7 separate regions of the Mus musculus genome follow, and all the other regions are reported to be linked to region 6. The links are microRNA targets in miRTarBase. Many come from high-throughput screens and were not tested one by one. Region 6 holds a microRNA gene; each other region holds the end of a gene's coding sequence.

Evidence for each region. The annotated mature microRNA mmu-miR-297a-5p reads AUGUAUGUGUGCAUGUGCAUGU and lies in region 6 at 1,228-1,249, opposite strand. An mRNA with a match to its seed (bases 2 to 7 or 8) in the 3' UTR can be bound and repressed. Matches are read on the target gene's strand: a 7mer-m8 pairs with bases 2 to 8, a 7mer-A1 pairs with bases 2 to 7 and ends in A, and an 8mer does both.
Region 1: the mRNA of Fgf11 is a reported target of mmu-miR-297a-5p. Seed matches in the 3' UTR shown: 7mer-m8 at 1,359-1,365 and 7mer-A1 at 2,310-2,316.
Region 2: the mRNA of Tgs1 is a reported target of mmu-miR-297a-5p. The part of its 3' UTR that is shown has no 7-base or 8-base seed match.
Region 3: the mRNA of Ptprr is a reported target of mmu-miR-297a-5p. Seed matches in the 3' UTR shown: 7mer-A1 at 1,519-1,525.
Region 4: miRTarBase lists Camta2 as a target of mmu-miR-297a-5p. Seed matches in the 3' UTR shown: 7mer-m8 at 1,042-1,048.
Region 5: the mRNA of Insr is a reported target of mmu-miR-297a-5p. Seed matches in the 3' UTR shown: 7mer-A1 at 1,156-1,162.
Region 7: the mRNA of Tmem87b is a reported target of mmu-miR-297a-5p. Seed matches in the 3' UTR shown: 7mer-m8 at 1,288-1,294.

What each region holds. Positions count from the first base shown.
Region 1 is chr11:69,794,418-69,798,480 of GRCm38, reverse strand. It overlaps Fgf11 (fibroblast growth factor 11), which reads left to right. Exons shown (of 5, transcript NM_001362623.1): 5 at 209-2,413. The coding sequence ends at 279. It overlaps Chrnb1 (cholinergic receptor, nicotinic, beta polypeptide 1 (muscle)), which reads left to right and starts at 2,544. Exons shown (of 11, transcript NM_009601.4): 1 at 2,544-2,659; 2 at 2,747-2,886; 3 at 3,468-3,512. The coding sequence starts at 2,602.
Region 2 is chr4:3,614,339-3,618,405 of GRCm38, forward strand. It overlaps Tgs1 (trimethylguanosine synthase 1), which reads left to right. Exons shown (of 13, transcript NM_054089.4): 13 at 521-2,286. The coding sequence ends at 667. Among named protein-coding and RNA genes, the nearest start is that of 2210414B05Rik, 40 kb to the right of the region's middle.
Region 3 is chr10:116,273,000-116,277,066 of GRCm38, forward strand. It overlaps Ptprr (protein tyrosine phosphatase, receptor type, R), which reads left to right. Exons shown (of 14, transcript NM_011217.2): 14 at 734-1,930. The coding sequence ends at 827. It also overlaps a transcript of Ptprb not described here. Among named protein-coding and RNA genes, the nearest start is that of Ptprb, 26 kb to the right of the region's middle.
Region 4 is chr11:70,666,594-70,670,660 of GRCm38, reverse strand. Camta2 (calmodulin binding transcription activator 2) reads left to right here. Exons shown (of 23, transcript NM_001190376.1): 21 at 1-112; 22 at 241-315; 23 at 399-1,198. The coding sequence ends at 462. It overlaps Spag7 (sperm associated antigen 7), which reads left to right and starts at 1,245. Exons shown (of 7, transcript NM_172561.3): 1 at 1,245-1,464. The coding sequence starts at 1,380.
Region 5 is chr8:3,151,826-3,155,892 of GRCm38, forward strand. It overlaps Insr (insulin receptor), which reads right to left. Exons shown (of 21, transcript NM_010568.3): 21 at 1-4,067. The coding sequence ends at 3,844. Among named protein-coding and RNA genes, the nearest start is that of Gm30220, 63 kb to the left of the region's middle.
Region 6 is chr7:10,957,250-10,961,316 of GRCm38, forward strand. It overlaps Mir297-1 (microRNA 297-1), which reads right to left and starts at 1,263; the gene lies at 1,188-1,263.
Region 7 is chr2:128,850,987-128,855,047 of GRCm38, reverse strand. It overlaps Tmem87b (transmembrane protein 87B), which reads right to left. Exons shown (of 19, transcript NM_001355629.1): 19 at 787-3,764. The coding sequence ends at 3,705. Among named protein-coding and RNA genes, the nearest start is that of Fbln7, 11 kb to the left of the region's middle.

The DNA.
Region 1 (4,063 bases), not on the chromosome of region 6:
GGCCATAAATGTTCAACAAGATGTTGTTATGGCAGATGGAGGCAGGAAGGCTTTGGCCTTTGGGGGGTTAGGAAGCTCTCTTCTTTTGGGTTGGGGTTCTCTAAGGGTGAGTGTAAGAGAAGGGAGGCCTCTCAGAGCTCTGCTTCTTCCTGGCTCCCTATGTGCCTAATTCTCCTTCCTTGCTCCTCTCTCTCTCTCCCCTCCACAGTGGCCATGTACCGGGAGCCTTCTCTCCACAGTGTTCCTGAGACCTCCCCTTCCAGTCCCCCTGCCCACTGAGATATAGTCCCTGGACTGGAGGCTCCCTGCTCTTCCAGTGAGTCAGCCACCGCCACATCCTGTGTCCTAGCCCTGCGCCGGGCCTTGCCGCTCTCACCCCTGTTGCCACACACATGCCCTGAGCAGTCAGGTCTCAGCAGGTGCTGCACCCTGTGGGAGCTTCGGGGCTGTCAGGGACCTCCGGAGTTGCTGAGCTCTTAGATCCTGGGGCCCAGGAGAGGTCCCAAGATGGGGGTGCCTGAGATGACCCTGCCTGATCACTTCTCTTTTTTCCACACTAATTCCTACCCCTTAAGAGAACACCCATTTTTTTTCCTAAAAGGCACCGGGGTTCCAACACTCAAGGCAGGAAGGTAATACTCTTCACCCTGGCTGAGCCAGTCTCTGAAGCCATGTCCTTCTTTGCATCGTCTCGAAGCCATAGCTTTCTAGGTCGGTCCACTGGCACTCAGAATGCATCTCCTTCTCTCTCTGCTCTACCTTCTGACTTGGTCTGGACAGGTTCTGATAGAGCTGGTCACCCCAGCCAGGCAGGGCCATCCCTATGTTCTGTGTTGGAACCCAAGTATGTATCCTTTCCACGTCTATCCTTGTCCTAGATGGACACCTCCCACCCCTGGCTTTAAAAAAGAGGCCCCCTACTGTAGCAATTGGCCTTGGTCTGAATTGGGACCAGTCTCAGGTCACCACTGATTAAACCTTCTTATCCCAGAGACACCCAATTCTAGAACGTGGTATTCTAGACCTTTCTGGAGCCATACTTCCTCCTGAATCTCAGTTCTAGGACATAGCCCATGACTCTCAGCCCTTTCTTCCCGGATGGAGCTAGGGCCTGTATAGCCATATTATTGTACTAGAGTAAGTTCTAGACCTACCCTTCCACTTTCTCTAGCAATTAAAGGATGAGCTATGGGTAGAACTCAGCTATGATTAATTAAAAACTGATTGGCTCTGAGCTGTGCTTGGTGGCACACACCTGTAATTCAGCACCCGGGAGGCTGAATCAGACAGATCCTGAGTTGGAGGCCATCCTGGGCTACAATAGCAAAACCCTGTCTCAAAAGCCAATACACACACACACATACACACACACACACACACACACACACAGAGAGAGAGAGAGAGAAAGAGAGAGAGAGAGAGAGAGAGAGAGAGAACTAATCAGTACTGAACGGATCAAGAACCACTTCTTGCTTTTCCTAAATAATTTTCTAAAAATAGTCCCTCCAGAATACTAACCTTACTTTTACATGGTTTCTAGTTTCAGCATTCCAACTAGGGTTCTGCCAGGGAGACAAGAGTCTGGGGAAAGATACAGGAATTCTGGAAGAATATACCTGGCTCCTAGAAGGGAAGCTGAGAGGGAGAAAATGCCATGGTATGATTGAACCTGTGTCTGAACACTTAGCTACCTCAGCAGGAATTCCTTCCAGATCCCTTTTAAAGCTGAGGACTTTCGTTCTGATATGGTATGCTGCATCTGTGAGGTAAAGGAGAGGAGGAGAATCAGGAAATAAAAGGCTAGCCTGGGCTACCTAGTGAGGTCAGGGCCAGCCTAGGCTATGTGAGACCCTGTCTCAAACAACAGGAAGCTAAGGTCTACAATGAGAATAACTCTAGAATTAAAAAGGACAAATAGGGACACAGCCTTGACTCCCCCTCACAGCAGAGAGACCCCCAACTCAGCAATAAGTTCAACTTCTCCGAGCCCTCTACAGGTCAGGCTTAGGAAACGAGGAGCCTCTTGGGCTCCCAGACCTCATATGTATCCCCAGAGCTTCTAACTAAATAGAATTTACTTTACTTTACAGCTTTTAAACCTCAGGTGGGTTCTAAGTACCCAAAAAGGACCTGAAAAACGGAGAAAGCCATGGGGAACCTCTAGTAAAATAGGAGGTAGATTCTGAGTCTAGCAGATGTAGGTGGAAACGTCTATTGAGGTCCTAAGGGAGGGGCTAGTGCTCAAAGACAGGTCACTTTTCCTCAGGCCCTTTTACTTCTGGCTTGTTGCAAGAGATGCCCCCCTCCCTCATACAAACCCCGCTCAGGCTCCGCCCATCTCCTGGCACTGCTCTCAGGGGACGGGGTCTCCACTTCATGCTTTCTGTAATTAAAGATGATTTATACAACCGGAGTGTTATCTGACATTTGTGAGTGGAGGGCGACTGCAGTTGCTCCGGGCGGGACCAAGTCCCGAGGGCGGGGCGGGTGGGCTGGCGTCTGGTCCCCCGACAACAGGTGCACATTCCTGGGCGCCTCGTCACTTCCCCTGGCCTGAGGCCGCTATCCGGACAAACTTCACTGAGCGAAAGAGGCAGGGCCATGGCCTTAGGGGCGCTGCTTCTGCTTCTAGGGGTACTCGGGACGCCCCTCGCCCCAGGTAAGTCAGTTTGGGTCTCCAAGAGGCAGTGATGAGCAATGGTCACGGCCAGCCCCGGGAGCGTCACTTAGTGCTTTCCTTCGTCAGGCGCCCGCGGGTCGGAAGCCGAAGGCCAACTGATTAAGAAACTTTTCTCCAACTATGATAGCTCGGTGAGGCCGGCGCGGGAGGTGGGAGACCGCGTCGGGGTCAGCATCGGCCTCACCCTGGCGCAACTCATCAGCCTGGTGAGAGCGGCACTGCGGGTGGAGTCGCTGGGCAGGACCGACTGGGGGCGTGGCTTTAGACGCTGCCCAGAAGATCGACAGCCTGGGGGCGGGCGGGTTATGCTAAGAGGCAGACAAGCCTTTGGCGGTGATTGGGTAAAAATCAGACCAATGAACTAGTTCATGGGCGAGGCCTCTATGATAGGTACAGAATACTGTTCTGCTAACTCGCCTGTGGGCGGGTTTTGAGGCGGAGCTGGGGCAGAAGGACCTGCTACCGGGAGGACCTCGAGGCGGGGCTGTGTAATATTCTAGCAAAGTCCAGCAGAGCTTGGTACCTAAGCAGTCAATAAACAACTCTGAGCGGAGATTCAGAGTTGTATCCATTAGACGCCGGGCGTGGCCCGTGACTTAACCTCGACGTAAAAGAAAGGAAAGCAGGCACCAAGGCTGGTGTTTCGAGATTGATATGAGATGGAGTTTGCACCCAAGAAGGTGCAATTTAGAGAAAGGGACTAGAGATTCCATGGAGAAAGTAACTCACCGAACCCTCGTTTCCACCCACTTCATTTCACTTCTGCCTTTTAACTTTTCCATTCTAGAACGAGAAGGATGAAGAAATGAGCACAAAGGTGTACTTAGACCTGGTATGGAGACCTCGTGGGTTAGGGAAAGGCACCCTGTTTCCTTTATATTAATCTCCTGGAGTCCTCATCCCAGTAAGATTTTTTTTTAATAGTAACTCACAACGTACACATATAATAACTGAAACAGAATTTTCGATCAACAAATTTAAGATACAAGTTTGGGGATCACTAATTTGAATTCCCATCCTTGAAAGATCCTGAACTGCATGCAGGTTGAACATCACTTTAGGGTGGCTAGTTCAATCTCTTCAGTTATTTCTTAAATTATTCTATTTTTATTTTATGTGAATGGGTGTTTTGCTTGCATATGTCTGTGAAGCACATGCATAACTGGTGTCCGTGGAAGCCAGAAGAGGGCCCCTGTTCTCCTGGAACTAGAGTTACAGATGTTTGGGCCTTCCACGTAGGTGCTCGGAATCTATTTTGGGTCCTCTGGAAGAGTAGCCAGTGCCCTTAACCAATGAGGTATCTCTTTAGGCCCCTTCTTCGGTTTGAGACTGAAAAAAGAGAGTTCAGTCCAGGGCTCGGGACTGGGCGGAGGAAACCAGTTG
Region 2 (4,067 bases), not on the chromosome of region 6:
AGGTTAGAGATGGGGTCTTCCTCTATTGATGGTGTAGGTTAGAGATGGGGTCTTCCTCTATTGATGGTGTAGGTTAGAGATGGGGTCTTCCTCTATTGATGGTATAGGTTAGAGATGGGGTCTTCCTCTATTGATGGTATAGGTTAGAGATGGGGTCTTCCTCTATTGATGGTATAGGTTAGAGATGGGGTCTTCCTCTATTGATGGTATAGGTTAGGGATGGGGTCTTCCTCTATTGATGGTATAGGTTAGAGATGGGGTCTTCCTCTATTGATGGTGTAGGTTAGGGGATGGGGTCTCTTTTGAAAGTCTGTGTTCAGCATGGTAATGGGTATGTTTAATCTTAGGAAGCAGGGGCAGGATGAGTTTGAGGACAATCTGGTCTACATAAGGAGTGGGCCAGCCAGAGCTATTTAATGAGACCATGCCAAAAGGGAGGAAGGATGGAGGGGGAGGGGAGAGAGAGGGAGAGAGAGATCCCGCTCATGTGCATGACTTGTGTATGTGCTTTTCCTGGCAGGTGGCATCCTTGGCTGGGCTTGGAGGACAAGTGGAAATAGAACAGAACTTTCTTAACAACAAGTTAAAGACCATCACTGCATACTTTGGTGACCTGATCAGAAGACCAGCACTTCTGAAGACCAGCACTTCTGAAGCGGAAGTGTGATACTGTAAAGCACAGAGAGATCATGTGGAGTGAGGATGTATGACATTCAAGTGAGAGACAGGAGGAAGGCCTTCCTAGGTTCTTTAATACTGTGTGCACATGTGATGTGGAAAACTCCGAGTTTTAAAGGATGCTAATGAAGTGGTTTGAGATCTTTAGGTAATGGTAATGGATCTGTGTTGTACACTTTAAAACAGCATCAGGGCAAGGTGATAGTGGTGCCTGCAATCCCAGCACTTCAGAAAGATCATGAGTTCAAGCTCATGCTGTGCTTCCTAACAAATCAAGGCTGGCCTGAGCTACATGAGATCTTGCCACAAAAAAGAAAAAAATCATAAAAAGTCTAGGCATATCCCTGTGCTTAAATTAAGTACATCTGTATATGTATTTGTTTTCATTCTTTAACTGTTTTAGCTTAACATCTTTGTGTCTGTGTAAGTAATTATTAGTTTTTTAAAATATAAAGAAAAACAAAGCAATTCTACCTACACGTGTAATCCCTATTGAAATAATGTTACCAATTTAATGCTAACACAGAAAAAGTAAAACTCCCACCACCTAACCTACCTTCTTTTCAGCTATCTAAAGCTAATCACAGTTAGCAGGACTTTGCTTTTTAACTTTTTTATTACATTTTTATTTTGTCTATATGTGCATGCATGCGTGTGTGTAGAGGTCAGAGGACAACTTGCTAGAGTCCATTCTCTACTTACACCATGTGGGTTCCTGGGAATCAAGTTAAAGTCATTAGACTTTATAACCAGAGCCTTTACCTACTGAGCCAACCCATTGGTCCCCTCTTAATTCTTCTGAAGAAAAGATCGCAGTATAACAGTGTACCCCGGTGCACTTCTCCATTGATGCACTCACTGTGCGTTCATTGCCTTCCCTTTGTGGATACTTAATGTATAGTATATGAAATAATTGCTTTTGTGAGAGAGAGAATGTGTTTGTGCGCAAGAGAGATGTGCGTGTGTGCATGTGTGTGCGCCTACTTTGACCCAAGTCCAGGGAAGAGTGTTGGATTCCTTATAGCTGGAGTTACAGATGGTTATGAGCTGTCAAATGTGGGTACTGGGAAATGCACTTGGGTCCTCTGGAAGTGGAAGTAAGTTCTCTCTCCAGCCCAAGATGGGCTTTTTAATCAGTGTTTTTGCTTTTCTGTTTTGGTATGGTTTTGTTGTTATTGTTTTGTTTTGTCTTGTTTTGTTTTTTTGTATACCCAGGCTGGCCTCATACTTTGTGTGTAACTCAGAGTGACTTTGAGCTCCTAACCCTTCTGGCTCCACCTACTGCACCTGGCTTATCAGAGTATCTTGAAAGCCATTCTATTTCAGTTCATACATGTCAATCTACCTCGTGTTTTAAATGGCTATTTTGTATTCCATCATCTATATATATAAACTAGTTCCCTACTGAGAGGCACCCAAGCTGTTTTTATGGTTTTATCGTTACCAACTGTTTATGCACTGTCTTTCCTTACAATATTTGCTGTTGAACAAGTATTTCAGTTGGTAAGTTTCTAGAAGTTACACCACTGGGCTTTTGTACATTTCAGTCTCGATAAAAAGACTAAATTGCTTCAATAAAATTGAACTTGCTTTTAGGCTTATCTCAAATTTTGTTTTATTTTTTGCTTTAACCAGATTTATTTTTAAAGCTTTGTGTGTATGTGCGAGTGCTACCTATACAGATGCCCTCAGGAGCCAGAAGAGGGTGTCAGATCTCCTGGAATAGAAGTTACAAGTGGATGTGAGTCCCTAAAATGTGTGGGTTCTTAACTCTCCAGCACACAACCTTTTACTTAGTCATGTATGAAATAATGTAATATAGAAGGTAATGTTTTTAATGTTTTGTTAAAGATTGCAGTCTACAGTGTGCCTCCATGTGAACCAATAAAGCAGGAATATCAGGTTAAGGTTAATGGACTATATTCCAAAGACAGAAACAAGGGAAGCCATTCAGAAATGTACAGCAAGAGTGTGAGGCAGATGGAAATTGTTGAAAACAATTCCAACTGTGAACCAAAATGAGGAAAGCCCATTTAGATCCAGTTGCGGCTGCAGAACAGTTTAGCATTGAGAAGGGTTTCCTAGAACTGAAGAGATGACTCTGTGGTTAAGAGTGAGTACTGTTCATGCAGAGGACCTAAGTTCACTTTCCAGCACTCAGATGCCATCTGGAGAGGAAACCCACTGTGTAAAACTGAGTACATGGAACAATCAACTTAGCATATCTGATTCAGCTGTTCGCCATCTCAGGCTGCGAGACAATCTGGAGAGAGACATATGTAGAGCAAGAGTGCCTACACTTCAGAGAGCAGGGAGAGGTAGCCTCACCAATACCTGAAAGCAGACATCATCAAATAATAAATTAAGATAATAAAGAGTTCAGTAGCTGAGTGTCCTGGCTAGTTTTGTAACAGTTGACACAAGCAAGAGTCACTTGGAGATGAGGGAGCTTCAACTGAGAATGTCTTAATAAGATCAGGCTTTATGCAGGCCTGTGGGATGTTAGTGATTGATGTGACCACCAGCCCATTGTGTTTGAGGCCATCCCTGGGCTGGTGGTCAAAGAACGATGAACAAGGCAGTAAGCAGCCCTCCATGGCTAAAGCATCACCTGCTAGGTTCCTCCTGCAGTTCTTGCATTTTTGCTCTGATTTCCTTCAGTGATGGTGTGCACGTGGCAATGTAAGCCAAATAAACCCTTTTCTAACCAATTTGCTCCTGGTCATAGTGTATCATCATAGCAATAGTCACCCTAACTAGGACACTGGGCCAGAAGACTGCAGTAGGCCAGCTTCTAGAGCCAGCTACCTGCCATGAGGTTCAGTGCTACTAAAGATAAACTGCAAAACCCCAGTGGAAGACTTGGCATCACAGCTGCCTCCCACCAGCAAGGTGATGAACACTTGGCAGATTTTGAAAGTATGAAAACAGCTCTTCCTGTACAGATCCTCTGATTGGCTGGCTTCCCCCACCCCAGACTGTGCTCTAGTTTCCCCTGGTCCTATTCCTTTATCTCATTCATTTGCTACTTTCATTTTTAACCTGATGTTTACTATTTTTTCACTTCATAGTACACTGCATTTTTAGTAGTTGGTTCTATGTTAGTTGACTTTACTTGATAGTAAGTGTATTCCTGTATCTTGTATAGGTTGATACAGCCACTGTTACACTAGTTTTCTCAATGAATGGTCCTGGAGACTAAGCCCTCCAGAGCAAACGAGCCTCAGACAAAACCAGAAATTATATCCAAACTAGGAGATGCATAAATTACAAACAAAAACACAATAAAGTCACGAAGTAGCTCAGCAGATAAAAGCAATTCTCAGTGTTCTTATTTCTGCAATAAAGCACTAACCAAAACCAGCTTGGAGAAGAAGCTTAGAGAAGCG
Region 3 (4,067 bases), not on the chromosome of region 6:
CATATACACATACATGTGCATATATATGACTGAGTATATGTATATATGTGTGTATATATATGAATAGAGAGAGAGAGTCATGTGTTGCTTAATTATGGAGAGGTGGTCTCAAAAATGTATCATTAGACAGCTTCATTGTTATGTGAACATTATATAGTCTACATGTAAAAACCCGGATAGCATGACCTACCACACAACTAGATGACGTGCTATATGTACAGCATTTCCTGCTTCTCTCAAAGCCACCAGGAACCAATGGAAGCACAGGAGAAGATGGCACTGTCAAGAGGTGCAATAGCTATGAGATGCACGCAGTGGCTGCTAGCCTTACATGGCATACAGTTGTCCAGTCAACCCTTAACACTGAAATCAGAGTACATGCTAAGTCACACTAAGAAGCATAGTAAATACCAATGCTATCAACAAAGTTAGCATGATCCATTCCAAGGAAATGTACAGTAATTACAGCTGCCACCAGGTAGGCTCGTTCACACCAGCATCATCGTTATCGCTAACCTGTGCATAACGCACCATGATACAGCATTGGTGCACAGCATGGGACTGCACTAACATATTAACTTCGCCAGCCAGGATGGTAAAAAGGGTAGAAAAAAAATTCACTAGATCAGCTATTCTGCCTGTTTGGCATAAGACTCATTCTAGCGTCATGTTTCGGTTACAGTATTATAAGGTGTCAGCAAAACTGAGTGATTTTATAATCTCTTCCATGCAGGGGTGGTATGGTCCAAACCAGCGAGCAGTATGAATTTGTGCACCATGCTCTGTGCCTGTTCGAGAGCAGACTTTCACCAGAAACTGTCGAGTGACTCCGAAGATTTACCAGAGTGTCAATCTCTCACCGGGTGATTCATCAAATTACCTACCAAGAGCTCCAAGAGGGGCTCCCTGCAATGGACGAGGAGGCTCTAAAGCCAGCCTAAGGCACTGATTGTGGAAGATCTGGCAACATGAAAGATTGCCAGCCTTTGTGTATAGGACTGCGTTCGTAGGCATCCCCCCAGTTATTCTGAAGGTCCTGTGCTGATGGAGGCATGACAGTCCTCTCGCAGCCTGAGGAGGGTTTTGTTCTGTCTGTGTCGCCTCTCCGCCGCACAGAATCGATGTGTGTGATATTCAGAGACTGGAGGAGCTGCTGACATTATCCTGTGTTTAGATGCTTTAATGTTCATAAAGCCTGTCTTGTGACTGGACTGTCAGCTGTCCAACTGTCCCTGTTGTAAGTGCTATTAACTATCTCAGTTACCAGAATCTTGCTGCTCAAGTTTCGAGTGATCGACAATGGATTTTTAACCAAGACATTTTTGTTTTTGGAAAAAAAAAAAAAATCAAATGCAGTGACTATTTTATATGGACATGTGTCTTGATTATATCTATTAAGTGTGCATTTATAGTATCTCCTATGGATCAATTACAGAGCACAATGACTGTCGTTGGATATATATGTATATGTATATGTATATTATATGTATATGTACACATATATATTCTATTATTAGGCATACAAGTGGCTCCTGTTCCACAATACTAACTACTATATTTCTACATTGTGACTTGTTTTACTTTAAAAGGGGATAAACAAATTTATAGCAACTATAAAGTATCAATAATTTTAAATACTCATCTCTCTTTTACTAAGAAGGGATTTTTAAATATGGTGTCTACCTGGTATCTCTCTCCCAATAAGAAGCAGGTGCCTTTGGGGAATGCTCCAACCTGTTTCATCCCCAAAAGTTTTTCCGAGGACACTGTCATGCACGACCTCACATTTCTAAAAGACCTCCTTCCTCAAGAGACAAATGAAGGCAAAATAATCACACTCAGCAAACAGGAGATGTTCTGCTCAGATATGAATTTTCAATGCAGCAAAGCTGACTTTCTTTCGTACTCCCAATAAATGACTCTTAACAGTAAATACTGAGTGAAGCCTCTTCTTTACTTACTCCCGGTAAACTGAAGGAGGTAATAGGACGGATTTAATTTTAGTCTTTTCCTCAGGGCGGGAGATGACTCTCTCCAATTGCAATCTTGTAATCACTTGAGAGATAATGATCTCAGAGCTCCATCATTATGTGGTTTTCCTTATGGACGCCAGCATCTCATTATACAAACAGTACATGTTTATGTCTTTATATCACTTGTCACAGACCCCATAAATTACATGGCTTACGTAGATGGGGCAGAATCGTATCACCTGAAAAGAAGCCGTGATGCAGGAAGACTCAATTATCTACCATTACGATTCCCTTTCTCCATCTTGAGGTTAAGACATAAGCATGTGCCAGAGGGGTGGCAGGGGTGACTTTCTGGGGTTTGTTCTGGCTCCCGGAGGCTGGCTCTACATTTTAAAAAGAGATGGACATTATCCCTCCTTTCTAAGGAAACAGACAAAAGGACACTGGTGTAAAACTTCCCCCCCAAACAATTCAATTGGAGGAAGTGTGTCACTGACTTTCCCCCTCTCCGTGAAGCACGTTTCCTTCCTACTCTTTGCCTCTCTTATCTGGGAGAAATTTTTTTTTTCCCCAAAGCGAAGCATGAACCGTTGTTAAGTGGAAAATGGAGGCTGAGTTTTACATGACGATTCTAACCTGCTTGATCCTCGGGAGCTTGGGTGAGTGGGGCTACCTCAGTTCCCTGAGACATCTCTCTCAAAGTTTGCCAGGGAAGCTGGTAGCCTTTGGGAAGGTATCTGAAAGAAATCAGAATAGGAGCCGGGTCTCCATGGCTCGAGAGCCAAAGCTGATGAGAAGGGGGTTGGGGGGATAAAAGGAGACAGCTCTGGCCACACTTCTGAGATTTCTCTCTAGAAGAAAATAAATGTTTACAGAGTGCCTGGGACAGCTCAACTCCTGAAAGGATGGGTCTTGGAGCGAGGGACCCTGAGCAGACATCTTTTATTATTTTCACATAACAGTCTATATAAGCACTCTGTTCCTTGTTCTAATCAAGTTATAGCTTTACTTTCTTGCACTTTAAGAAAAATATATACGTAAGGAACGTGACTAAAGGGAAGAAGGAAATGTGTTTTATTTGGAAGTTGTCATTTGGAGGGATTGAATATTTCCAAGGGAATGCTAGGTTGCTTAGGTTAAAACTAATTGATGTCTGAGCCTGAATATTTTACTTTTTACTGTGAATGTTTAAAAACTGGGCATTTGGTCTTTAAGGAGTACTGATATATATATATATATATATATATATATATATATTAATGTGTTAGTATTTGGTGGAAAACTGTAGACATTGTCACAAAATCGATGCTTCTCTGTAATAAGGAACTTAGCCTCTGGTAATCAGGAACTTAGCCTCTGGTAATCAATCAATACTTTCGTTGTTTGCCACCAGCCACAAGTTTGGGCTAGGGAATTCCCTTGTATTTTTTATCTTTTAATAAATGTGTCCAATTTTAACTGTTTATTCAAACTATGCAACTCATAAACAAATATTTACTTCCTCTGTGAGCTGTGGCTGAGAGGGAGGTATATCTCTCTTCTATGTAATGGAAAAGGGCTAAATATGAAGAGAACCAAATGGCTAAAAGGGATCAAGCCTTATATTGACTTTGATGACTTTGATAAGGCACACACACACTCTCTATATTTGTCTTTCCTCATCCAATGAAAAGCCATAATCTTTGGATGACTTTGTTTCTTTTCCAAGATTCCTTTCATTTTTCCAGTGGGGTATATGTTCCTACTAGATTGTATAAAACGTTCACAGAGGAGTACTTCATATGATATCTTGACATTTTCCATTGTCAGCCTGGAGATAGTCCATTGTTTCTTGGTTTTGCTTGTTTAAGTGATGGGTTGATTGGTTGGTTTGGGAGGCTGTTTTTGGTTGGGTGGTTGCTTGCTTGATTGGTTGAGTTTGGGGGATGTTTGGTTTGGGTTGGTTGGGTTGGGTTGGGTTGGTTTGGGTTGGGTTGGGATGGGTTGGGTTGGGTTGGGTTGGGGGTGGGGGGGTATTTGCTTATCTGTTTGACTTAGGATTTTAAGTCATGTGAGCTAAATCTGAGACTGTTCACTTGCCACGCTAGAAAGGTC
Region 4 (4,067 bases), not on the chromosome of region 6:
GGTTTCAGCAGAGCCGCCGAGCAGCGGTGCTTATCCAGCAGCACTACCGCTCCTACCGCCGCAGGCCGGGGCCTCCTCACCGGCCCTCAGGCCCCCTTCCTGCTCGAAACAAGTAGGGACCACCCCTTCCTGCCCCTATACAGCCCTCAGTTTACCTCTTTGTTAATGCCCACTACCTCTATCGGCCCTCCAGCCTTTCCCTACAATGGTCTTAAAGTGGGGACTCTTCTTTCCCACCAGGGGCACCTTTCTCACCAAGAAGCAAGACCAGGCAGCCCGGAAAATAATGAGGTTCCTGCGGCGCTGCCGACACAGGTTCTAACCCCATCCTTACCTCTCTGCCCTGACACCTTTTCTGATCCATCAGTCTCCTCTGACTTGGCTCTGTCTCTCCGCAGAATGAGGGAACTGAAGCAGAACCAGGAGCTGGAGGGGCTGCCCCAGCCAGGACTGGCCACCTGACCTCTCCAACGCCTTTCTTCAAAACCCTGGGAGCCCCTTCTGGCTGTCTAAACAAGGAGAGGGCTTTCGGGACTAGGGGAGCCCCCTGTCGGCAGCTCTTCACCCCTTCACCTTTTTGGGAGCCCTTCGTAGAACCCCCGCCCCCAGGCCTTACACGTTTCCTCCCTTCTGGTTGTGCCTCCTCTTTTGGTCTCCGGCTCCAGAAGACCCACGCCCCACATATCTGCATCTTCAGCTGTGACCTCCGGAGCCCTGCCTGCACCTTCTCCATATCCCCGTTCCTGCCTGCACCTGACTCGGACCTTCCTGACTTGCCTTATTTATTTGTTCGAGAGTCTCTGATGAATGTATCCGCCTCGGTCCCCACCGCTGCCTTCGCTGCGCGCGCCCTCGTGTTTCAGGGGTGACTGCCCCCACCTTGACTCCGCATGTTTGCGTCTGTTTCCTCCTTTCCTGGCCCTGTCTTCCCCATCACCCTGACTCTCTGGTCGCCCACGTAGGGGCCAAAGAGGAGGGGGTGTACATAGGATCGCGAGGCGGAGTCCCGCTCCCGTGGGGAGGGGTGTGTACATAACTGTAACATACAGAGTATAGTGAAGAATCTATTTAAGGCGCTGCGCGGCCGGGCGTCTGATTCCCTGGCGCGGCGGGAGCCCCCGGCTGGCTCCACGAGCACTTTCTACTTGTGCATGGGCTTGGTTTATACGAATTGCCATTAAACGTCTCTGCACCAGCTAGCCTCCGGCCTCTCTCTGCTGGGGGCGGGGTAGGAAGGTCGCCACGCAAGTCGCCGGCCTCATCTCGCTGCCTTAAGCGGGGCGGAGCAGCGCGGTTTTTCGCTTCCGACGTGTTTCCGGCCTTAAAGGCATTTCGTCCTTCCCTTTAAGACGCACCGCCCCCTCTCACTCATTCCCAAGATGGCGGACCTACTGGGCTCCATCCTGAGCTCCATGGAGAAACCACCCAGCCTCGGTGACCAGGAGAGTCGGCGCAAGGCCCGAGGTGAGGATCCCAGATTCACAACCGCGTATCTTCGCCCGATTCTTGGGACCACACTCTTCCCTCTTTGAATAATGCCACCTCCTACCCTAACAGACCCCCCACAGGCCACTTCTGAGACCCTCAGAGTCCCTAAAAGGCCTGTCGGCCCGCCCGCTGTCTTTTGCAAACAATGATTGGCTACCTCAGCCTGCCTTCTACCTCCAGTCTCTTCTTCCTATCCTCGCCTTTTACAGTCCTTGTTTGCGATTGGTCAACGGGCCTGCCTGTCTGCTGTTGGTGAGCTCTGATTAGTAGGATGCCTTTCTTCCGATTGGAGGATGTCGTATCCATCGCCTCGGTCCCGCGAATCTCCAGTTCTATTACGATTGAGTTTAGGGCACGCCCATCCACCCGTCTGTTCCCCTCTATTGGCTAGCTCAGCCAAAAGCTCTACCTTTAAAGTGTTACCTTTTCTGACCGACCTCAGCCTCAGCTCCTCCCATTGGTTGGCTGGATCCTCCTATCTTTATGCCCCTTCTTGAGTTGACCCAGTCCCTCATACCTTCCACCGCCCTTTCCTAACTATAGCCTTAAATTCCTGTGCTGCCCAACTAGATCGTGATGTTGATTGGAGAGATGAGAATGCCCCGCAGGCTCCGATTCGCCATCTCTCCTTCCCAGCCCCCGCGCTGAGTAGCTAACCAGAAAGCTCGCTGGGGTTTGGCAGCCAGGGTAGGGTGCGGCCCGAAGTGGCCTGCCCTGTATTGGCTTGGAGCGCATGTGAAGGACTTTATAGAAAGGATAGCCTTAGGTGCATCCAGCTCCCAACCACGTGAGCCTTGGTCGTGGATAAGTCTCCTACCCGCACCTACTACCCATCTGCTCAAAGGAGGCAAGACAGGATGCTTTCAGAATGTTCAAAGACTGTTAAATATCTGTACTCCCTTATTTACAAAACTTGTGAAGCCAAAGATGCTCATCAAGGAGATTATAGACCATGTCTGGGACGTTTATTAATGATCATACGGAATTTTAATAACCAATTAATATACATGTGTAGGAAAGATTAATTGGGAGTCCCAGGCTTGTCTGAAATGAGCCGAGCAACAAAGAATAGGTAACTCAGTAAAGGGAGTGCAGTCTGTTCGAAAGCTATGGGAAAGCAGAGCTTAATAGGAAACAGGAGTTAGAGTTACTTAATGTTCAGCTGAGTAATAGGTGTGCTCCCATCAGCCGTCAGAATAGGAGGCTTTAGCCACTTGCCTCGGGTCTCAGGTTACTAAGCTGAATTTGGAACCCAGATGTGAGCTCGTAGCCTCAGTGTTCTTATGCTACCTCCCAAGATGCAGAAAACACTGGAAAAGCAATCAGAACACAATGAAAGGCCAAGATAGTGAAGTCAGACAGACGAGAGCTTCTAGTTTGTCAGGTCTTGGACTCTGACGTCTAACTGGACAGGTGAGCAGGGTCAACCCTCCAGCAGCTCATAGCCTGGTAAGGGAGACAGGGGGAAAAACAAAACAAAAAACCCCACGTCTTTAGCAGTGAATGTGCTTAGAGCGTAGAGGAAGTCTTGACTCACGGTGAGGATTCAGTGTTTGCTGTGAGAGGAGGAAGAGCATTCCAGAGAGAAGGAGCACGTGCAGAAGCATGGAGTGACTAGAAAACAGGAAGAATTCAGTGCCACTTTGGGGACTCAGTCCTGTGGAAGAAGCAAGCTTGGATTTTGAAACACCAAAAGAAAGGGGAAGGGACATTTGAAGCTGAGGAACAGGAGGAAGATGTGTGCCCAATCACAAGAGGCAGCAACCCCCTACCATGGGAAGCGACAGGCAGGATAAGGAACCAGGTTAAAAGTAGCTGAGCGGGCTGGAGAGATGGCTCACGGTTAAGAGGACAGACTGCTCTTCCTGGGAACCTGAGTTAGATTTGCAGACTCCACATCAGGTTCCTTACAACTGCCTGTAACCCCAGCTCCTGGGGGGAATCTGACATCTCAGATCTCTGTGGGCACTCGGATTCATACATAGACGAATATGCATAGTTAAGATAATAAAAATAAATCTAAGGAAAAAAGGTAGTCTGGTGGCTGGGAATGTTTCTCAGTCAGCGGTGAAACACTTAGCATATGGAAGACCCTAGGTTCAAGTCTCAACACCACATTTGTCAGTCCTCGGCTAGCATATCTGTAAGTTTGAGGCCAGCATGGACTCCATAGTGAGTTTCAGGTCTGCCTGGAAGTCTCAAAGCTGGGAGTAGGGAGAGAGAGCGGACAGCCCCGTATTGCTTATAGTTGGGGTTGCGGCTCAGTGCCAGAGCTCATGTCTAGGTATATCCCTGGGGTTGCAGCTGTCCCCCAAGGGCAGACGGGATGATCTGGTACAAAGGCAGGATCTGAGAGAGGGGAGGAGCATTCGGTAAAAGAGGAGAGTTTATTTATGGCTAACTTTGGACACCTCTGCCTCCAAAGAAAAGGTCAATGTCTTAGGGTTCCTGCTGCTATGAGGAGGCGCGTGATTGAAAAGCACTCAATGGGCTTTCTAGACCAGAGTTCCAGATTTCTTCTTCAGTGGCCCCACCCCCACCCCCAGCCCCCAAGCAAACCCAACATGGCCAGCCTTGTC
Region 5 (4,067 bases), not on the chromosome of region 6:
CCACCAGCCAGTGTTATGGTAGGTTTCAAATAAAATTACAGCCCTTAACCCAATAATCACTGTGCATGGTAGAACGTCTGTCCTGATAAGATAGTAAGGATAGTTTTTACTTGTGTTGGTGGCACCACACCCAGCTGCCACACAATACAGTTCAGCTCTTCCTGCCAATCTCCACTCTCCCAAACTGTGCTCAGCCTAAATCCAGAAAGCCATCAAGGCTCTTCCCTTCAAGCTAGCATCAAATGACAGGGAAACATTTAGAAAGGCTCCAAGTACATGAACATCTCCTGATGTATGCTTGACATCATTGAACCAGACAACATGTCTGCTGCTATCCTGGAAGAAATAACTGCATTTCATCATGATCATGAAAGTAGTTTTAAAATGATGAGACATCTCCCAAAACTCAACAAGAAATATCAATGTAACTTGCTTTTGTTTCTATTTTCTTTTCTCTCTCTCTTTCATCCATCACTACGAACTCCCAGGATAGCCATGATTTTCTAGATCTCACAAAGCTAACATCTTCTGAAACCAAAATGAGTCTCATGACCCAATAGCTACTTGTTTCCTTCCCAGCAACAGTAGATATCAACATGGAATTAGTGGAGTCCTTTTTGGTAGGGTCACCCAAGTTGGTGCACCTTTCCAGAAAAGATGGAAAAGAGTAAAATTTTAAGGACAGTGTTCTAAAGTGAAATAATATGTCAAAGCTTGAAACTAGGAGCCATGCTGGCCCCGCCTTGATTTCCAGAGTTCTCAAGATTGCACAAGGCCAAACAGTGTCAGCTTGAAGTCAACCCAACCCCAGCATAGGGTTCCTATCTTATTGTTTAAGATATGTTCAGGAAACTGATAGGTTTCATAGCAGGATTTCTCCAAATACCCTTGCATCAGCTATTTGTGTAAGAGGTGCCCACAAACAGCCTCATGGGTCTAAACAGGGTGAGAAATCATGGTCAGAAAACCCAGATTCCCTTTGCATTCATGTCCGGGGGATTTCATGTGACTTCTGAAGGTACTGGCTCACAGCCTCATCAGTAAAAGGAACACCCACTTTTCAAAGACCTCAGATCAGGGGCCTCCAAAGAGCTAAATCATGATGACTTGAAGTGTGGCTTGTGTGTGAGGAGTGTGCAATCAACAGATGGGTTTTTGTATGGAGAATATACTCTGAAGAATATCACCAACAAGAAGACTTTGGGTTCACAGGAAGGCTCTAACTTTTTAATCTAAACTCTCTCCTTCAAAGTTCTCCCTAGTCCCTGGCATTTAAAAATCAAATGGTACACAGCTCCCCAACTCAGAGAATGATTCAGCCAGAATCTTGAAGCCTCAACATCTGTTACTGAACCACATCCTAATAAGACACTGAGGTAGACTGTACTGAGAAGAAGGAAAAAAAAAATGACCCACACTCACCTGTTTTTATTTCTCCTTGATAAAAAAAAAATTTACATTCATAACATTTTTTTACAAAAGTGATTTTCAAGAGTGATCTTATATATTAAAATAAATACTTTCCCCGGTACTATAAGAAAACCTTTTGAAGTAGAAAGGTGTGAAAATTTCTGCTAGTATAGCATCACTACAAATTTACTGTGAAAAGGAAAAATAAACAAAAAATATCCATACCTACGGTGTCTTCCATTGATGCACAGACCTTCTATTTACAAAGTGTTTTGGGTAAAAGTAACTGTAACTCTTGATGCTTATGCCAATCATTGAGTTCCCTGGCAACATTTTTACATGCTGCAATTTTTATAATATAAATTCCACAGCAATTGACAACCAGGATTTATGTTTCCTTGTGTTCTTAATCAGGGTGGCCAGTGTGTCTTTATCTCATATCTCCTAAGGGAGAAGAAAGGCATCAAATATTTGTGGGAAATGCACGCAGGAAAGAACCTCTGGGAGGATTTTGAGTTCACCATAGTTGTTTCTTTTACTTGAGCAGCTGTGGTTTTATGCAAAGAGAAGTTGTGAGTTCACATCCTTTCACGAGTTCTTGGTGGTGAGAAGAAAGTCTCTGATGTTTTCTCCTCCAGACTTTAGTCTCTAGAGACTCAAACATAAGCACCTGAGAAATAAACTCAGGCACTATATCTGGCCCAAGCTGAGGTCCCTGGACGCCAAGAGCAGCTGTGGGAGTTTAGTGTAGAGAATAGCCAGATGCCCCAAAGGTGGAGGAGACCAGCGGGGATCGGAAGGGTACATCTCCTTACATATTGCTTAGTGTTCTCAAAGTCCATCTGTGTCATTGGTCTTCGGGATCTGAGTTTAGTATGTTTATACAATGATTGAGCAAAGTGTAGGCCTTGAAGAAGTGAGGTACACAAGCAGAGAAAAACCAGATGAACACAGGTGTTCTGGAAGGCCATCTCAGCTCCAGGTAACCACCAGTGTATCCAAGCAAGAAACATCCAGTCAATGTTACTATCTGAAACAGTCGAATATCCAGTTACCCACAGACTCCACAAGAACTCCCCGAGTCCTAAAGGGCTAGCAGCTAATGTGGTATAATTCCCAGAAAAATATGTGTTTCAAAGACCAAACCCAGAGGCCACTCACATATTGTCCTGTGTCCCCACACAGGCAGATGTGCCCACCACTGCTCCCAAAGAAATACTAACTTATTAGGCTCATACCAGAGATTCCATAAGCTTTAAATATGTTACAAATATATTCTCAAAATTGTTGCCTTACTTCCTTCTAGTGTGTGTGTGTGTGTGTGTGTGTGTGTGTGTGTGTGTGTGTGTGTCCCCTTTGCTTTGTTTGGTCTTCCAAAGATCCTCAAAGAATCCAGACCAAATAATCCTCCCTCTGTTTTCGGAAAACATCATCAAAGGGAAGGGGAAGAAGACACCTGAGCAAGACTTCTGATGTGACTGAGAAGACTCTCTCGAGGGCACAGACTCTCAGTTCATGAGAAGGAAGAGGACAATATGAGGTCACCCACTCCAAGCAGCAGGAGCTTCGGGAGCCAATTCACCAAGCATCAGTCCAGAGACTATTTTACACAGCACCCCACCCCCACCCCACCCCACCCCACCCTGTGATCTCTAACCTGGACACAACATACACACAAATGCACACAGGTGTGCAGATGAGCACACACTTAGGAATACACACCCTTTCCCAAAATAAAATATGAAAGCAGCAGCTATTGGTCAATTTGAGGAACTGATTTTGTGAATGAGGAAAAAAAGTAAAATAAAATAAAATAAAATCCTTCTCTTAGATTAATGAAACCTTCTCAAAGCCCAACCCTGCAGAGCATATAATTCTAGAGCCAGGCTCTGTAGGTCAGGTTTGGTTTTTGTTTTGTTTTGTTCTGTTTTCTGTCTGTTTCTTCTTTGCTTTCTGACTTGTGCTCCATAAATAGTCTGTCTTTGACAACTAACTGTAACTCAGACACTAACGGGGAAAAAAAAGAAAGAAAAGAAAAGAAAAGAAAAGAAAAGAAAAGAAAAGAAAAGAAAAGAAAAGAAAAGAAAAGAAGAAAAATATCTGTAAAAAAGCAGGTACATTCTTCCAATCTATGGGGAAAAGAACACCACCAACAACAAAATCTTGGTTTGATACGGTGGAGGCAGGGAAGGGAGCATGGACAGCCCAACCCCTCTAGGTTCACAGTTAGCCCTCCACAGGCTTACAGGGTTGGCGATCACGCTTGTGTGTTTTCAGGTCAAAAGACAAACAGAAATGTGTATGAACTATCTCTGAGCTCAGTTTCACATCTGGGCAGAGTCCTGATAATCCTGAGTTTCCTGGAGGCAGTCAAACTACAGAAGAGTTTTAAAAAAGAAAGAAAGAAAAGAATCCTTCCCGGAGAAGGCGCTGTTAGGAAGGGTTTGACCTTGGCAGGGTAAGGACACGTCCGTTCTTCTTGCCCCCATTCATGTGGGTATAGGGGATGTGTTCATCATAGGTCCGTTTGATGCTCAGTGAGGACCCTCCCTCCCGGCCCCCAGCCTCTTCTCTCTGACAGTGAGAGGAACGATCCAACGGGACATTCTCCATGTCTTCAAACTCCATCTCCAGCTCCTCACTCTCAGGAGCCTTGT
Region 6 (4,067 bases):
CGGGGTACTGGTTAGTTCATAATGTTGTTCCACCTATAGGGTTGCAGATCCCTTTAGCTCCTTGGCTACTTTCTCTAGCTCCTCCATTGGGAGCCCTATGATCCATCCATTAGCTGACTGTGAGCATCCACTTCTGTGTTTGCTAGGCCCCGGCATAGTCTCACAAGAGACAGCTACATCTGGGTCCTTTCAATAAAATCTTGCTAGTGTATGCAATGGTGTCAGCGTTTGGATGCTGATTATGGGGTGGATCCCTGGATATGGCAGTCTCTACATTGTCCATCCTTTCATCTCAGCTCCAAACTTTGTCTCTGTAACTCCTTCCATGGGTGTTTTGTTCCCAAATCTAAGGAGGGGCATAGTGTCCACACTGGGATTAAAGGAGTATATCAGCACTCCTGTCAAAAATTTTTAATTAAAAATAGATTGGTTGATTGCACATGGGTGTTTTCCTGCATTTTTGTATGTCTGTTCAGCACCTGCATGCCTGGCACATGTAGAGGATAGAAGAGAGCATGTGTCCCCTAAAACTGGAGTCAAAAATAATTGTGAGTTACTTTGAGTGCTGTAAGTTGAACAAAGGTCTTCTAGAAGAGCAGCCAATGCTTTAACTAATGAGTCATCTCTCCTGATCCAGATTTTATTTCATTTTTTATTATGCATATACTGTGGGAGCTTGTGTATGGATCTGTACACACAAATGCAGTGCTCTCATTAGCCAGAAGAGGGCACAAGAAACCCTAGAGCTCCAAGCTTAATGGCAGGATTGTAGAAAATATATAGATTAGTCTAATTTACACAATGAATTCCCATCCAGCCAGAGTTACATGGGTAGACCCTGTCTCAAACAAATAATTATGTATGCTGAACAACCTCCAAATTGACTAGAGTGAATACCTTAAATTGATTCAGTAGCTAAAAGGGTTTGTCAGGTCCATCTCTTTATTCTGCCCCAAAGGAAGAAACATAAGCAGTCCCGTTGACAATTTAGCTGGGCACTGGAGAGATGGATGGCTTTGTGGTTCAGAACATTGGCTGCTCTCTTCGAAGCACCTGGGTTCCATATCCTGTACTGACATCAGGTGGCTAAAACCATCTTTAACTCTACTTCAGAGAAACCAACATCCTCTTGATCATCTTGAAGCACCTGCATGCTGTAGTACACATACAAACACAAGCAAATACATACATGTATGCATAATATATACATGCAATATGCATACATGCACATGCACATGCACACATACATACATACATACATATTCTTTAAATTTAGCTCTAGGGCCTGGCATGGTGGGACATGCTGTTAATGCCACCTCTGTGAGACTGTGGCCAGGCAATTCTACATAGCAAGTTCCAGACTAGTCAGCTTCATAGTGATACCCTTTCTCAAAAACAAATCAATTAGCTTTTGCACATGCATGCACTTGAGAAATTGAAGTAGGAGGGTCAGGAGTTTGGGGTTCATCCAGGCCTACATGAGATCTCCACCAAAAAACAAAATCACTTTAGCCAAAATGATTAAATTGTGAGGTGTGCAACAGTATATATGACACACAAAGATGCATGAGCTTATGTACAGGAAGAGAGCAGAAAGGACACTGAGTGGCCTGCTCTATCATTCTCTGCTTTTTCCCCAGGCAGGATCTCTCACTGTACTTAGAATGGGGCCCCAGTGTTCTTCTGTTTCTGTTCAATAGCACTGGGGATATTGGGCAGCACATACTTTTTCATGTGGGTGTTGGGAAGCTGGACACAAGTCCCTAGCTTGTGCAACAAGTGCTCTTACCCACTGAGCCACCAGGAAATATGTAGTAGATTTTTTTTTAAATTTAATATCAAAGCGAAAAAGTCTGCATGATTAAAACTAAAGCCCTCGTAGCATGGTGGTATATATCTCAGCTGAAGACAGAAGAAAGACTGTAAAACTCGAGGCCAGCATGAGCTATCTAGTAAGTTCTAGACTACCCAGAACTACCTTGTAAAACTACATTGCAAAACACAAAGACAGTGAAATAATCCATTATCAAGTATTGCAGAGAAACCCAGCTTTCCAGCGTGGAAGTGGAAAGAGCCATCTGGGACAAAGTCTGCATAAAAAGACGACTGCACAAAACATGGGGAGCAGATTTTCTAGCTTGCTCTTGCTGCAGGGGGCCTTCCTAGAGGAAACCAATTGTTCCTTCTCCATGGAGAAACTCAGATCCATGAAAGTGGGGCAACGTGACTCTGTAATCTTATATTATCCATATTTCATGATACAGGAAGGACTATGTGCCTCATAGACCTAAATTAACACGAACAAAGAAGAGATTAGAAATTGCTTCTCCCTTGCTATGGAAAGAGACAGCATTTCACAGGGCCATTTATTGTCACAGTAACAAATGTTAACTTTGGAACTGGAGAGATAGCTCAGCGGTTAAGAGTACTGACTGCTCTTCCAGAGGTCCTGAGTTCAAATCCTAGCAACCAAATGGTGGCTCACAAACATCTGAAATGAGATCTGATGCACTTTTCTGGTGTGTCTGAAGACAGCTACAGATATGTATATTGTATATATATTGTGAGGTGTGCAACAGTATATATGACACACGCAGATGCATGAGCTTATGTACAGGAAGAGAGCAGAAAGGACACTGAGCGGCCTGCTCTATCATTCTCTGCTTTTTCCCCAGGCAGGATCTCTCACTGTACTTGGAACGGGGACCCAGTGTTATTCTGTTTCTGTTCAATAGCACTGGGGATATTGGGCAGCACATACTTTTTCATGTATGTAATACATGAAATACAGATATATTATTATACATAATAAATATATAAATCATTTACAAAACAAAAATATAAATAAATAAGCAAATGTTAACATTGAAAGTATTTGTAAGTTAAAACACTTGAATATTGCTGGGCATGGTGGTGCACACCGATAATCCCAGCACTCAGAAGGCAGAAGCAGGCAGATCTCTATGAGTTTGAGGCCAGCCTGATCTACAGAGTGAGTTCTAGGACAGCCAGGGCTGTTACACAGAGAAACACTGTCTTATAAACAAACAAACAAACAAAAAGCACTTGAAGATTTATCCATGTAGAGAAGGTATTGGGGCCAAGACAAGGTTCTTTCTCAAGTTTCTCTCTGTACTTTGTCATCACAAACCCTAGTTTATTTTAAATTGCTGTTTGACTTTCACTGTTTTTCTTTTTAACAAATACTATATAAATATACGGCTTCTCCTCAAAGCGGTGACATTTGTTGTAGGGGGTTGATGTATTAACAATCACTAGGGAAACTTGAGTCCCAGCTGAATGTGATGATGTGATCGGGCATACACATCCGTCTTCCCAACAATTACAAGATAGAAGCAGGATTATGAGTTTATGGTTAGCAATGGGTACATAGAGTTCATCCTGTAATATATGATGTCAGCCTAAGCTATGTGAGCTGTCAAACTATTATACTTAAAAATAAAATAAAACATGGGCTGGAGAGATGATTCAGTGGTCATGAGAATGGCTGTTCTTGCTGAAGACCTGAGTCTGTTTCTCAGCGCCCATATTACATGGCCCACAAACCCCACTCCAGCTCTGGGGGTGTTCAACATCCTCTTCCATGTACCCACACACACAATTAAAATGGAATTTAATAATAACCTTAAAAACAAACAAACAAATAAAAAAAAACAAAGCAACACCTCAGGCTTTTGTGAGAAAGAAACAACACAGCAAACTAGAGATTTCTTCTCCTTTCACCATCCAACTGTCACCCCTCTTTAAGAGTTTGACTTACATTTCAGGTGTCACACCAGCCTCAGAGGAAGTTGTGGGGTGGTGGGCTGTGCACTTGGTCCCCAGTCAAGCAGAGGTCTGGAAGCCTGGTGACCAGATGAGTGGTAACTTCTGCCTACATGGAATGGCAGATGTTCAGTCATGCCTCCTGGGTCCCTGGTTCCTGTCAGGTAGCTACAGCCTCCCACACCACCACCCCCTACCCTCAGCAGAGAGGGATGTGGCCATTAGTCACTAGGACCAGCACAAAGCCCTCCCACGTGCAAATAAGGTTTTCCCAAAGCTCA
Region 7 (4,061 bases), not on the chromosome of region 6:
TGAGCTGCCACGTGGGTGTTGGAAAAAACCCAGATCCTCTGCAAGAGTAAGTGCTCTCAACTGCTGAGCATCTTTCCAGCCCATGGATATTTTTCTGAAGGGCTGGACCTGGCTGTGATCACATGGTAGCTGAACCTCAATGGTAGCCCAGGCTGTGGGCCATTCAACAATTTGCTGTTCAGTCCTGTTTTGCTTCCCATAGGTGTACAAAGTCTCACACGTGCCCCTCTTCAGGCTTCATATATGTTCTTTCCTGGTGTCACAAATTCTTCACTTTAACTCAAAAGCGGCAACCATTGCATAAGAAGCGGACAAGCCACAACTCACTCATTCTTCTTGTCTGGTGCGGCCATTCACTCGCTGTTTCTAGTTTTAGTGTGTGTGTGTGCAGAAACCTTGCTCTGTATTTTGAAAGATCTTTAAAAACATTGAGAGAGCTGGCATTATCAACAGTCCTAAACATAGTCGGACTTTTCACAAAGACTGAGTCAATGGTGTCACCATGAATGATGCTCTCATTTCATCACTGAGAGCTGACAGACAGACAGACAGACAGAGACACACACAGACACACACTAATACATACAAAAACAGTCAGGAGGCCACGTTTAGGCTAGCCTGGGTTGTAAATGACACGTTCTACTGTACCACACCTGAGGCTGGACTTCTTTCTGACTTTGAGCTACACCTCTCCTTTAAAGAACTCTATCTCGTGCCATCTCCTGAGTCCACATCCCCTATGGATTTTCATGAGGCAGCACTAACAGATAATCCCAGGAAACAATCTCCAAATGTCAGAAAGCAATTTATTAAAAAACCAAATATTAAGGCACAAAAATACAAAATTTCAAACAAAATTCCTTTAAATTGCTGTGTTCTATAGTCAAAGAAATTTCTTCCAAATTATAATTTAACTTTTTAAAATAGAGAATCTATTTTTAACCTCTAAACTTTCTCCCCAAGGAAATGAATGTTTCCCTAATTCTGAAGAAGCTTCTAAGTACAGTATTGAGTCCCCGCCCTGGAGTCCCCGTCCTGGAGTACACACTTCCTTAAAACTCTAGTATTGTCACTTAAATATATTTATATGTTCAGAATTTTATATATTAAACTTCTTTCTGATAGACGTAAGGCTTGGTGTTTTATATTGCTTACTGCATGCTGTCAACCATACAAAGACACAAATATCAGAACGAGAGACAAAACGTAGCATGATCTCTCTCAGCTTCAGTCATATACAGCCAGGGCAATAGCTCCAAACCTTCAAGAGGGTATAAAAATCAACTCTGTATGTATACTTTAAGCTTAATCTTGACATAGTAGTATAAACATGATGTACCGTGATACAGGTGGCACTCTGCACAGGACAGATTAAAAACAAAACCCAAAAAAGCAAACAAACAAACAAAAAACAGGAAATGCATGGGAGTATCCTACCAACTCCCAAGCTTACAATTTCCACCTCCTGTTTCTTACTGAAATGTAATAAATACCCCCAAAGGCAGATTTTTAAATATTAACCTAATTCAAAGCACGAAAAAAATGTCTCAAGCAAACTTCATATGCCTCCAAATCTAACATGAACTGTATAACAAGAAGTCTTGAATACAACTGGAGCCTGATCCTTAGTGTTCTCAATTACCAGAGCCATCCTACAGCAGCATCCTGAACGGAGGCTGAGCTGAGCACCTGTGAGGTCCCAGTGTGGTCTGCAGACTTGGGGCAGACGGGGAAGGAGCCTGAGGAGCTGCACGGAGGTCCTGGGTGCACCTCCCGTCCTTGTCAGCTACAGTGGCAGCACAGGGACACATGCTGGGGCTAAGAAGGGCCCCGAGAAACACTCACTTTAGGGCACTGAACATTAGCACCTGGCAGTTATCAGTAAATGCAACAGACACCACACACATGCTTGCAAAAACACTTGTAAGGAGGTTAAGATGGAAGTCCACTTTCTCTGGACAGAGAGTCATTTCAGTCTGGAGCTACACCAGAGGCAGCATCATTTGTCTTCCCTGCTTTTTAGAAATCCCATTGAGGTGGTGTCAGAAGCATTTCCCCAGCCATCAACTGCAGACTCACCCTGCTCAATGTGTAGCTCCTGCTGGCTCTAAGCAGAAATACTCAAGTGCAGACCTGTGGGTTGAGAGTCAGCTACTTCATGCTGTGAGGACAGGGTACTAAAAACGTGAAGCAGGCCATGGTAGTGCATGCCTAGAGTCTTAGCAAGAGGTTCGCAAGCCCATCCTCAGCCAGAGCTATACAGTGACACCCTGCAATGCTCCTCCCCGTGCAAGACATCCCCAGTTTTCACAGAGCTGGGTTACAAGGTGGACTATGACAAACCTAAAACGGACACGCAACTATAGAAATATGTCACTACCAACCCTTTTGAAACGAGTACGCAGGAAATAAACTCAGAAAGTAGGCATTTGAAAGAAAACCTTTTGTTTTGTGGTGCCACAGTGAAAAAATCATCATAGGCTATGGATAGTGCTCTTCCTTGTCATTTTCATGTTTTCTCAATTATCCCAAGTTATTCTAACTCACAGGGCAGAAGTCCTCCAGAGAAGGCATACAAGACCCTGCCTGTCATTACCACATTACATGTCCAACAGCCTGGTATCTTTGGTCACGAACGTGGCAAAACGTTCACATTTTCATCACTCTACATTCAAGTGCCTTTCAAGTCTAGAACATTCTATATTCAAAAAATATTAGAATAGAAACTTTCAATCATACATTATAAACATAATTTAACAACAAGGTGTAAGATATGGTTGAGAGCTGGTTAAGTACATGTTGATGCATGGTAAGGTTAGATGTTTGTATATCTCACAAGTCTCCACAAGGCTCACAAGAAACAGTGCACCGGGGCTGAGATAAAGTGCTGTAGGGGAGTCACATGGCCAGGTTCACAGCAGAAGTAGCAGCAGCACGTGTACCTGTGGCCTGCAAGTCTTTGGACATACCCTCAAGACGTCTCTCTTTGCCCATACGTGTTCCCGAGCTCAGACTCCGTGATGTGTAGTGCATGGTGGTATTTACAAACAAGAGCTTTGTGTACACCAATGAAAGGGACAAGATTAAATATATGAACATGCTCGAGTTCCAATATTGTCACTTCAGTATAAAAAAATCAAATAAAATTATCATTACAAAAGATGAACAGTGCTGTGTTAGCATTCAGGAGAATCACGTTATCTCGAAGGCGAGGGAAGGAATGCTCATAGATTCTTCTCTTTCCTTTTCCTTTTTGGTTTTTGTTTTTTTTGAGGCAGGGTCTCACTATGTAGCTCTCTCTGGTTGTCCCAGAACTATGTAGACCAGGCGTGGTTTTGAATTTACCAGTAGTGTGCCGCCAGCCCAGCTACAGATTCGTTTGTCCAGAGAAAACTGAGACACACAACATGGCATGCCTGTGGCTGCCGCCTAAGAGGCATCTGAGCACATGTTGTTAACTTCTTAAATTGTTTCCAAATCAGGCAACTTAATGGCCATGAAACTGACTGTCTAAGTTAGTTTTAAAGATGGCTTTCTGAGGGTGGCAGACCCTCCCACTCCTGAATTCTTCATCTGCATACACAGATCTCCAAGACAACAAAGGGAAACACGTATCATAGTGAAGCTGTCAGTTTTGATGAGAGCCAGGCTTTTCCCATCACCTGACTGTGCTCCTGCACACACCGGACCCACTGGGGCCCTGATCACATTATCTTTTCTGAAGAGAACATTTTTTCAGCTATTTCAGATCTGGTCATAATTTCCTGGAAAAAAAATAAGACAGGTGTCAAATGCTGGTGTTAGCTCTAGAACCTACAAAAATGTTCTAACAAGTCACTATTTAATCTTTTTAATAGACCTAAATTTAGGGAAGTATTAGATAAAAACCATGCTGCCACTCCCCAGCCCCTGCACCCCACTAATACAGTAGGTCAATTATTAGCAGAGACTGGAAAGGTCAGCTTCCTTCTACCTAGCAAATGAGTTTAGGTTCTCTGTGAGAGGCAGAACTGCAGCTAACAGGGACCTCATGTGACAAACTTGTCTCATGCTACTGCATC